2 linked regions of the Callithrix jacchus genome follow. The protein of the gene in region 1 purifies or fractionates together with the protein of each later gene. This does not show direct contact. Links are inferred from orthologs where the notes say so. Each region holds a gene or a part of one and is shown on either strand. Other genes may lie near its edges.

Region 1 (5,354 bases):
TCACCGCAAGCTCCGCCTCCTGGGTTCAGGCAATTCTCCTGCCTCAGCCTCCTGAGTAGCTGGAACTACAGGCGTGTGCCACCATGCCCAGCTAGTTTTTTATATTTTTAGTAGAGACGGGGTTTCACCTTGTTGACCAGGATGGTCTCGATCTCTTGACCTCGTGATCCACCCGCCTCGGCCTCCCAAAGTGCTGGGATTACAGGCTTGAGCCATCGTGCCCGGCCCTATTTTAATGTTTTATTAGGCACTCAGCATCCCCAGTGGCTCACCTATAGTAGGTGCTACATACCTGCTTTTGGAATACATATATGCATGAATGAATGGGTATGTTGGGTGGGGGAGGGACCAGGGGAAAGGTCTGGGGCTGAGGGGATGCCTGGGTCACTGCTGCCCACTGCCTCTACAGACCAACAAGGCTTGGGCCAAGGGGGACATCCAGGGGGCAGGGGCCGCCTCCCGCCGTGCCTTCCTGTTGGGGGTCCTCGCCATCGGGCTGGGCGTGTGCACATATGCGGCTGCCCTGGTGACCCTGGCCGCCTACCTTGCCTCCCGAGACCCGCCCTAGTTGCTCCTACAGCCCTCACTGTGAACCATGAGGCCGGCAGTCCAGCGAATCTGTGGGCAGAGAGTGGAGAATCTTGGTGGATGAGGCTGCGGCGGCAGCAGGAGCATCTAGAGATGGGAGCAAGCTGGACTGGAACCCCTCCCCTTCCTGGCCACCGCTCATCGGGCGGCAGCAACGTGAGATTAAACACCAGACACCCTTGCATCCAAACCAGAGCCTATTCGTGTGTGTGTGTCGGGGAGGATGGAAGGGGTTGGGGTGCTTGAGACCAAGAGGGGACCAACCGGTCAGGGTGATGAGCTGTGGTGGGCATCCATCCCAGGGTGCTTGCTCCCTGAGACCTGAGCTGGAGAAGGGGGAAAGAGGGTTTTGTTATTGTCGTTGTTGTTTTTGGGATGGAGTTTCACTCTGTCACTCACAGGCTGGAGTACAGTGGCACGATCTTGGCTCACTGCAACCTCCACCTCCCGGGTTCAAACCATTCTGCCTCAGCCTCCAGAGTAGCTGGGATTACAGGCACCTGCCACCACGCTCAGCTAATTTTTGTATTTTTAGTAGGCAGGGTTTCACTATGTTGGCCAGGCTGGTCTTGAACTCCTTTTTGAGATGCAGTTTCGCTCTTGTTACCCAGACTGGAGTGCAATGGCACGATCTTGGCTCACCGCAACCTCCGCCTCCTGGGTTCAGGCAATTCTCCTGCCTCAGCCTCCTGAGTGGCTGGGATTACAGGCACGCACCACCATGCCCAGCTAATTTTTTGTATTTTTAGTAGAGACAGGGTTTCACCATGTTGACCAGGATGGTCTCGAACTCTTGACCTCGTGATCCACCTGCCTCGGCCTCCCAAAGTGCTGGGATTACAGGCGTGAGCCACTGTGCCCGGCTGGTTTTATTTTTTTCATAGATTTAGTACCGTCTGGCAAATACCAGCTCAGCTGCGTGCTCCTCTGGGATCTCACTAGCAGGGCCTGCAGACATTGGGTACTCCACAGATGTGTTAAAATGAATTAATTTATTGACTCATCCATTCCATAAATGTGAACTCCTTGTTGGGCAGGGATCTGTGTCCCCAAGCCTGGGGACTGTCAGGGGCCAAGGCCTCCCTGCAGGAGCCCCTATGGTAACATGGCTGCAGGCTCACTGTCCTATGAGCCCATAGGACAGAGAGGCAAGGCTGGGCCGCTGGTTTGCTTCAGGCTGTAGCGGGTGGGTGGGTGGGTGGAGGCAGAGGGAGTGGCCCCCTGCCCCAGCTTGTCTCAGCTCTTGGAGTAACGCCTCTGCAGCGATTCCCGGTAGAAGCGGAAGACGTGTTGCGAAGCCGCCTGGGCCGCGGCCAGGCACTGCTGGAGCTTCGGGGGAGAGACTGGTTGGTGCTGGGGGCTGAGACCTGTGCGCGCGCACGCGCGCGCGCGCGCGCGCACACACACACACACACACACACACACACCATGACGGGGCTGATGCAAGAGGTTTTGCTGACCCCCACCTGCCTCCCTTCGCCCCCCAAACCCACCACCTCCCCCTTCACCTCCCATCACTCCCCCGCCCCCAAGTGAGACAGGTGGTGAGGCATTATCTCCCACTTCACGAGCCGTTTCTTAGAGATCAGGAGAAATAAAGAGAGGGTGAGGGCTTCAGGGGTAAGATTCTGACAGCAACAGGACTCAGACCAATCAGGCATCCTCTCCTACCTTGGAAGAGGCCCCAGCTTTGCAGAGCTAGGGAACTGGAGAAAGTGCAGAATTGGAGTGGTCTTGGGAGTTTACAGTCATGGGCCCCTTGACCCCGAATAACCTAAGAGCCATGGAATCAAGAGACTCCCAGTCTTTCCTGCCATGTATTCCTAGATTCATAAGGTCCAGGTTGGACGTGCTTTTGCAGTTTCCAAGCTTCTGTCCCTTAGCCTGAGACCTGGAATTTTGGTGGCTTACCACTCTGAGCTAGGAGCTGGGGGACCATCATGTGCCCTCATCTTCTGACTTTATTTTTTTATTCTTATTTTTTTGAGGATTGAGTCTCACTCTGTTGCTCAGGCTGGAGTGCAGTGGCACGATCTTGGCTCACTGCAACCTCTGCCTCCTGGGTTCAAGTGATTCTCCTGCCTTAGCCTCCCGTAGCTGGGATTATAGCTGCGTGCCACCATACCCAGCTAATTTTTTGTATTTTTAGTAGAGACAGGGTTTCACTGTTAGCCAGGATGGTTTGGATCACCTGACCTCGTGATCCACCCACCTTGGCCTCCCAAAGTGCTGGGATTACAGGCGTGATCCACTGCGCCCAGCCTTATTTATGTATGTATTTATTTATTAATTAATTATTTTTGAGATGGAGTCTTGCTCTGTTGCCAGGCTGGATGGAGTGCAGTGGTGCAATCTCAGCTCATTGCAACCTCCACCTTCTGGGTTCAAGTGATTCTCCTGCCTCAGCCTCCTGAGTAACTGGGACTACAGGCATGTGCCATCACACCCGGCTAAAGTTTCTTTTTTTTTAATTTTAGTAGAGACAGGGTTTCACCACGTTGGCCAGGATGGTCTCAATCTCCTGACCTCGTGAGCCACCCGCCTCAGCCTCCTAAAGTGCTTGGATCACAGGTGTGTACCAGTGGGCTCATGCCTGGCCATCTTCTGACTTTAAACTGAGCTCAGCCTCTTTTTGCCTGTCCCATAAATTGGGCTTCCCTTAAACATTTCCACAAAGGTTTCTGGGACCACAAAGTTTGAAAACTCTGTTTTTTACAAGCAGAAATGCAAGCGGCTCTCCTGAACCCTCTCAGAATCCGGGGTAGAGTTGGGACAAGACTGCATGTCGGTGGGAGGGAAGGCTCTGGCTTTTGCCCTCATCCCCATGCTGGTACCTCAGCGTCCGAGAAGAGCCCCTTGGTGCTGGACATGAGCAGCTTCCGTTCCACGTTGTCCAGGGCGAAGGTCAGGACTGCCCGGGCCTCCTAGGGACGAGGGGAAGAAGGTAGTGGGAGACCTAGGACCCTCCCTTCAGATAAAATCTCAGCCAGTCCCTTGGCCAGGCACAGTGGCTCATGACCATAATCTTGGCACTTTGGGAGGCCGAGGCAGGCAGATCACAAGGTCAAGAGAGACAGTCACCCTTCTATGGGGTTAGAAGGGTAGAGCATCCCATCTCTACTAAAAATACAAAAATGATCTGGGCGTGGTGGTGTGTGCCTGTAGTTCCAGCTACTCAGGAGGCTGAGGCAGGAGAATCGCCTGCACCAGGGAGGTGGAGGTTGCAGTGAGCCAAGATCACGCCACTGCACTCCAGCCTGGGTAACAGAGCGAGACTCCATCTCAACTGCCAAAAAATGCAACAGCTCCCCCCATCTCAAGCCCTCCACATGGTTTCTGCCTTCTGGATTGGAGGAAACCATGAGAGCACTGGGCAGACAACACAGAATAACCTGAGCTCAGACACTGAGCCTGAGCTGATGTTTGCTTTTGAGCCTCTTAAGATGGAAACTGGGAGCTTACGGGGTCAGTCCCAGCCTCAGGAAAGATGCTAGCCACGGAGAATGAAGCTGAGAAAGGCAGGGACGAGAAGTGAAGCGAGGACATCCTGATGGTCCTGGTTTTATTTCATTATTTTTTTGAGATGGAGTTTCACACTTGCCTACGCTGGAGTAAAGTGGCACAATCTCAGCTCATTGCAACCTCTGCCCTCTGGGTTCAAGCAATTCTCCTGCCTCAGCCTCCTGAGTAGCTGGGATTACAGACACATGCCATCACGCCTGGCTAATTTTTATATTTTTAGTAGAGAGAGAGTTTCACCATGTTGGCCAGGCTGACCTCAAGCCTTACTGCCTCAGCCTCCCCACCAGCTGGGACTACAACAGGTGTGCACCATCATGCCTGGCTAATTTTTTTTTTTTTTTTTGAGACGGAGTTTCGCTCGTTACCCAGGCTGGAGTGCAATGGCGAGATCTCGGCTCACCGCAACCTCCGCCCCCTGGGTTCAGGCAATTCTCCTGCCTCAGGCTCCCAGGTAGCTGGGATTACAGGCACGCGCCACCAGGCCCAGCTAATTTTTTGTATTTTTAGTAGAGACGGGGTTTCACCGTGTTGACCAGGATGGTCGTGATCCACCTGCCTCGGCCTCCCAAAGTGCTGGGATTACGGGCGTGAGCCACAGCGCCCGGCCTGCCTGGCTAATTTTTATATTTTTAGTAGAGTCGGGGTTTCACCATGTTGTCCAGGCTGACCTCAAGCAATCTTACTGCCTCAGCCTCCCCACTAGCTGGGACTACAGGCGTACACCATCATGCCTGGCTAATTTTTATATTTTTAGTAGAGTCGGGGTTTCACCATGTTGTCCAGGCTGGTCTTGAACTCCTGGCCTCAGGTGATCTGTACATCTCAGTCTCCCAAAGTGCTGAGATTACAGGTGTGAGCCACTGTTCTTGGCCATACTTTTTTTTTTTTTGAGACCGAGTTTCACTCTTGTCACCCAGGCTGGAGTGCAATGGTGTAATCTCAGCTCACCACAACCTCTGCCTCCCAGGTTCAAGTGATTCTCCTGCCTCAGCCTCCCAAGTAGGTGGGATTATAGGTATGCACCACCACGCCCAGCTAATTTTGTATTTTTAGTAGAGACAGGGTTTCTCCATGTTGGTCAGGCTGGTCTCAAACTCCTGACCTCAGGTGATCCACCTGCCTCGGCCTCCCAAATTGTTGGGATTGGCTGGTCCGAGTGCAGTGGTGTTTACAACTAATTGATTACAACCAGTTACAGATTTCCTTGTTCCTTCTGCATTCCCACTGCTTCGCTTGACTAGCGT
Region 2 (5,354 bases), on another chromosome or scaffold:
CATCCAGAGCAACTTCCAGTCCTGCAAGCTCAATTCATGGTAAATGCCCCATACAGGTGGATCATCTTTTATCTTTTATGCCCTATTTTTACTGTACCTTTTCTATAATATGCTTAGATCAGTTTAGATACACAATTACCACTGTGCTACAACTGCTGACAGTATTCAATACAGGAATATGTTAAACATGTTTGCAGCCTTGAAGCTACAGGCTCCACATAGTCTAGGTGTATAATAGATGTTACCATCCAGGTTTGTGTAAATTACACTAATATGTCCACAAATGAAGCTGCCTAACAACTAATTTCTCAGAAATATCCTTATCATTAAAGGATGCATGACTGCAAATTATATTTGATTTTTTGTAGCATTCTTACTAAGAATCATGTAATTTACAAATTGTAATGCTTTTTAATACTATTAAAGGAAGTAAATAAACCACTGGGTAAAAATACCCAAGCTTCATTATTTCTGCATAAATAAGCTCTTTAAAAAGATACAGGACTTGAATATATCGAAAGACATAAGGCAGATTTTGAAATATTCATGCCAACTTATCAATAAAGGAAATATGAAGCTATACCTCAAGTCCTTTACCATTCCTTTTACAATAAAGAAATTCATAGCTTTTATACATAGTTTCTTTGTAAGAAATTTAACAAGATTTTACAAAGTACAGGTAAAAAGATCATGAAAAATACAATATTGCTGTTTTCTTGTTCAAACTTGATAAAGGTTAAAACTTTCCATTTTAAAATATTTTAAAAGTTAAAATCCTAGAATTGTAACCTCAGCATTAGGAAATTTTATAAAGTACAGTCAGTACACTATTGTGAAGAAAATATTAGTTACCTGGGCTGCTCCTGTAATCATATTTGGAATGAAGTCCTTATGGCCTGGAGCATCCATTAATGTAATAACTTTGGTTGTGGTTTCAAACTTGGTCATACCAACATCCATGGTTACTCCCCTTAAACAAAACATAAAATGGTTAGAACGTACTATGTAATAGTGCTATAGAGTAAATTAATAATAGTCTACATGATTATCTAAATTCTTAGGTAAAAATGGAAATTTTATTTATAGACCATTATTTTTGAAAAATTAAATTATCAATCAGGGCTGGAATGTCTGGTATCATAGAAGTGCATTCATATGGCTTTAACAACATGAAGTTGTGTTCGCAGTAAGAGCTCAATAAAAATGATAGTTATGCCCTCTTACCTTATTTTTTTTTGTAAGAAATAGTGTAAACTGTGAACAAAGAAACATATATGGGGACAACTCTAAATGGGGGAAAAATACTGCACATGAGAAAAGATAAATGAAAAATTACCATTACCAAGAGGTAATTTTCTTCATGTTCTATGCTTATGCTTCACTAGTTATAGAAATGAGCTTCTAAAACTTTCATTTGCAAGGCTGGTCAGTATGTTACATATTTAGAAAACACAAGATATCAAAGCAGATGCTTAATTTTCAAGAAACGGAGAGACATGAACAGCAGACTGCTTTTTATCCTATTTAATTCTTCTTGTAGACCAACACAGTGCCTTTTTCAGCCACAAAAAAATATAGATTCAGATTAGTGAAATGCTTGGGATTAGAAGTTTTTCAAATTTCACATTTGTTTGGATTTGGAATATTTGCATATACATAATGAGATATCTAAGGGATGGGACCCAAGTCTAAACACAAAATTCATTTATGTTCCATATACACATTATACACATAGCCTGAAGGGACTCTTATGCAACATTTTTAGTCGTTTTGTGTGACCTGTCATATGAGATCAGATGTAGAATGTGCCACTTGCGATGTCATGCCAACACTCAAAATGTTTCAGATTTTTGAGCATTTTGAATTTCAGATTTTCAGATTAGGGATCCTCAGCCTGTATAAGAGGCCTAAGGAGGTCTACAGGGACACTCAGTCATTCTAGGCCTCAGACATTTAGATGGGGAAATCATGCAGGCAATAAACGAGGTCTGCCCCCGAATCATCCAAAGTAATGAATAATAGTACTCCCTTTTACTACCAAAAGAGTACAACAATTAGAATAACAAACTATAGGTTTGCCCTAGCAATAAAGTAACTGTGGGTCTCCTTAGTCAAGACATTTGAGTTTAACCTGAAAGCCTGGGCCATCCAAGTTTGACAAAGTGATGCTTAATTCTCTTTAATAATTCCCAATAATCCAAGCACCACGGGCACCTTCAGAATAATGGCGAACTAAGACTTACTCCGAGATCCTCTGTAGACTGACCTGAGTATACTCTGCTGACCCAGCTCTGATTTCAATTTGTAACCCTAAGGATATGAAATGTCATTGCAACCCAAAGGATATGAAATTTACTCATTTCTGTTCTTCAGTATCTGAGAAGAACAAGGGATTTACAAATATTTAACATGGTGGGATAAGCAACATATTACATTTTGTAAATGCTATTAAGGAACATATGGTGGTGAGCTAAAACTCCCATTATATACCTGAAAGCATCTGCTGTCTATGGAATGAAGAAATATTCTAAAACTTATGCTGAGCAATAAAGAACCAGCAGCAGCAAAAATATGAAAACCAATCAATAGATAACATTATCAAAAAAGCTAAAATGACTGACCATTGTAGGATTCAAATCAATTATTAGTTCACTTGCCAGCTCAACTAAGATACTAGGTAACTTAGTTAACTTCAAGTGAACCATTCTAACTTAAATATACTGTTCTCAATGTCTTTACCTACTTATTAGATAACGCAGAGAAAACTAAAAAACTACATACTTTAATAATGTGCTTGTTAAACTGACAGGTGAAAATTATTTAGGCTTCTAATATTGTATCATATACAATTCCATTGTTTTCCATAATTGGCAACTGTCCAGCTAATTTTTCTTACTAGGATAGAAAACAGGCCTGTGATACTATATAGAATTAAAGACACCCGCAAAGAAAGAGAAAACATTATGATACAAATTCTGGTTTACCAGAAGAGGTAAGGAATACTGTGACCTGCTCTACAGAGCATTATCTCATATATTATAATGGATACTATGCAAGACTGCAAGAAAATACATATTAAAAAGGCATGAATATCCAGATACATTCTCCAATAATCAGACTGAAGACATCAGGGAACACAGTTTAATCTCCTTGCTAATTTAAGACTTTCACAGGACTTGGTTTGTAAATAGTTATTATTTTGACACAGTTGATATATCTGCCATGACATTATCAAGGTGTCCTTTGGCTCTCCCACCCTAGCATGATATATACTGTCACTCTAAATATACTTCAAAAGAAATACTATTCTTTGGCCAGAGTATATTAGTAGCTGCATATTCCTATTAGAATCTCCCCAAAATTAGCACTTAACACAGTAACAGAGAAAGATAAGTAACTGACTGCATTATAGCTACAGAATTACTTGTTTGCTGTCTCACAAAAACAGAATATATAAAGTATAAAAATGAATTATTTAGTAATTTGAATTTGCTGGTTACTTAGATTCTAGACAAAAGAGGTTTTACTACAGTTACATTTCCTTTGTAAGCTGACATGAAATTAAAAGTCTTACTTTTAATTCAAAATCAAGACAATTTGACATGTACTTAAGGAAGTAACAACTGAAACTTATCCCATAGAATAATTAGCTTATGATTTTTACTGTTTTTTTTTCTGCATGGCTTTTGTTTTACTTTGTTTCTGACAAACATTCTTTTAATCTATTTCCATAAAGTTTCGAGGAGTAAAAACAGTATGTAGATTTTCCCTGATATTTAAAAGCTATTTTCTAAAAATAGTCTCTAACGTATTTCATATGTTTTACAAATTTGAGACATATTATACACTTATTTTAGAAGACTATATGACTTCAAACTGAAAATTACAAAATATAGTGACTACCTTTCCCTTTCTTCGCCAGTCTCATCCAAGACCCATGCATATGCAAACGAAGCTTTGCCAGCCTTTTTAGACTCCTGTTCATACTTATGCATAGTTCTTTTGTTTACATTACCCAGAAGATAAAGCATATGGCCCATCAGAGTACTTTTCCCAGCATCAACATGACCTAAAGAAAATTGATTCAGGATTAATACCAGGTACATTTCCAGACGTTCACACTGAGGCATTGCATACATGTATAACTCACTATTTCATGTCAGTGGTTTACAGTAATAATGCCAGTATTTATCAAATGACAGTTAAAACATCTAAATAGAAAAAAAAAGAGCAAGTCTCTTTACAGAGGGGGTAAGTTTCTCAGATTTTTGGAAATTAAAATTGTCAACAAGACATGCCAATTTCAAAATGTTCACAAAACAAAAAATCCCACAACCAAGTGTAATGACTTCTTCGGTAACTTGGCATTCTCTCTCCTCAGGTGACTAGAAAGCATTATGAGGCCGTGCCTCCTCGCTTTCTGTCCATTCCACCTATCGAGAACTCGGAATTTCCATGCGGCCACAAGACAGTGGGCAGGGTAAGGCATGGAGGCTGACGATCCAGAGGGACAAAGGGCATTACCAATGACCACTAAGTTGAGGAGCTGCTTCCCTCCTTGCCGCTTCTCCAGTTCCACCTTCACATCTATTTGCTGTCTCAGCTTGCCAGACTTTCTCATTGATGCTGGGGCTAAACTCTGCTCTTCTGAGGCTTGAATCATGTGGGGTGGATTAGCAGATTTAGAAGCAGTCTCAAGAACATCAGAAGCAGCAATGCTGACATCTTCACTGGGCGGTCCCTTTTGAGGTGTGTGGAAACTATGACCATTTTCTTCAGAAGTTACTCTACAGAAGGCAGACAGGAAAAAAGCATTTTAAACCAACTCGACTGATGTTCTATAATGTCAGAAGGGCAGAAAAACTGTTTCTTCATAATTCTTTATACTCCAGACCAAAAATAATCTCTGCTAAGTAGCTAGAGTCTGTTAAGGTGGAAATGATAAGTAGCTAGACTCAAACCACACAAATACAGATGTGGAAGATCCCAAGAGAAAAACAGTGTACCAAAAAATGAAGGTATGAAGAAAATATCTTTAAAAATAACTGAAATTCAAAATCTAAGCCTTGGCGATATAATCCATCCTATCAAAATCAATGGTATAAAGGGGATATTTTGTAAAAATGGCACCAAATATATTACTGGAGTAGAATTAGTACTAAAATATAGTTTTACCCCAACTCATCCTTCCAACATGATAAACTTATGATCCTTTTTATTATCCCCCTCAGGGGAGATATCTCTAAATGACTACAGTTCATAAACATTTTTGACAGTGGAGCTTTAATTAATTAATTCAACAAACACCCGATTTACTAAAAACTACAACATATACTAGGGACTGATGTTGAAAA

What was found. Proteins that work in one complex are often made in the same cells at the same time.
Region 2: the proteins of EXOSC5 (region 1) and HBS1L purify together in Homo sapiens (affinity purification with mass spectrometry; 3 studies listed by BioGRID and IntAct, with this or other methods). This does not show direct contact. The link is inferred for Callithrix jacchus from reciprocal best matches to the Homo sapiens genes EXOSC5 and HBS1L.

What each region holds. Positions count from the first base shown.
Region 1 is NC_133523.1:36,659,544-36,664,897, forward strand, and holds the end of EXOSC5 (exosome complex component RRP46), read right to left. Parts: intron 3,513-5,354; coding exon 3,423-3,512; intron 2,363-3,422; coding exon 2,260-2,362; intron 1,956-2,259; coding exon of another isoform or gene 1,918-1,955; coding exon 1,706-1,917; 3' UTR 1,562-1,705; downstream 1-1,561. Other genes in the region: TMEM91 (transmembrane protein 91), read left to right, coding at 410-568. UniProt on the Homo sapiens protein: Non-catalytic component of the RNA exosome complex which has 3'->5' exoribonuclease activity and participates in a multitude of cellular RNA processing and degradation events.
Region 2 is NC_133505.1:141,712,603-141,717,956, forward strand, and holds part of HBS1L (HBS1-like protein), read right to left. Parts: intron 4,788-5,354; coding exon 4,525-4,787; intron 4,070-4,524; coding exon 3,904-4,069; intron 971-3,903; coding exon 853-970; intron 1-852. UniProt on the Homo sapiens protein: GTPase component of the Pelota-HBS1L complex, a complex that recognizes stalled ribosomes and triggers the No-Go Decay (NGD) pathway.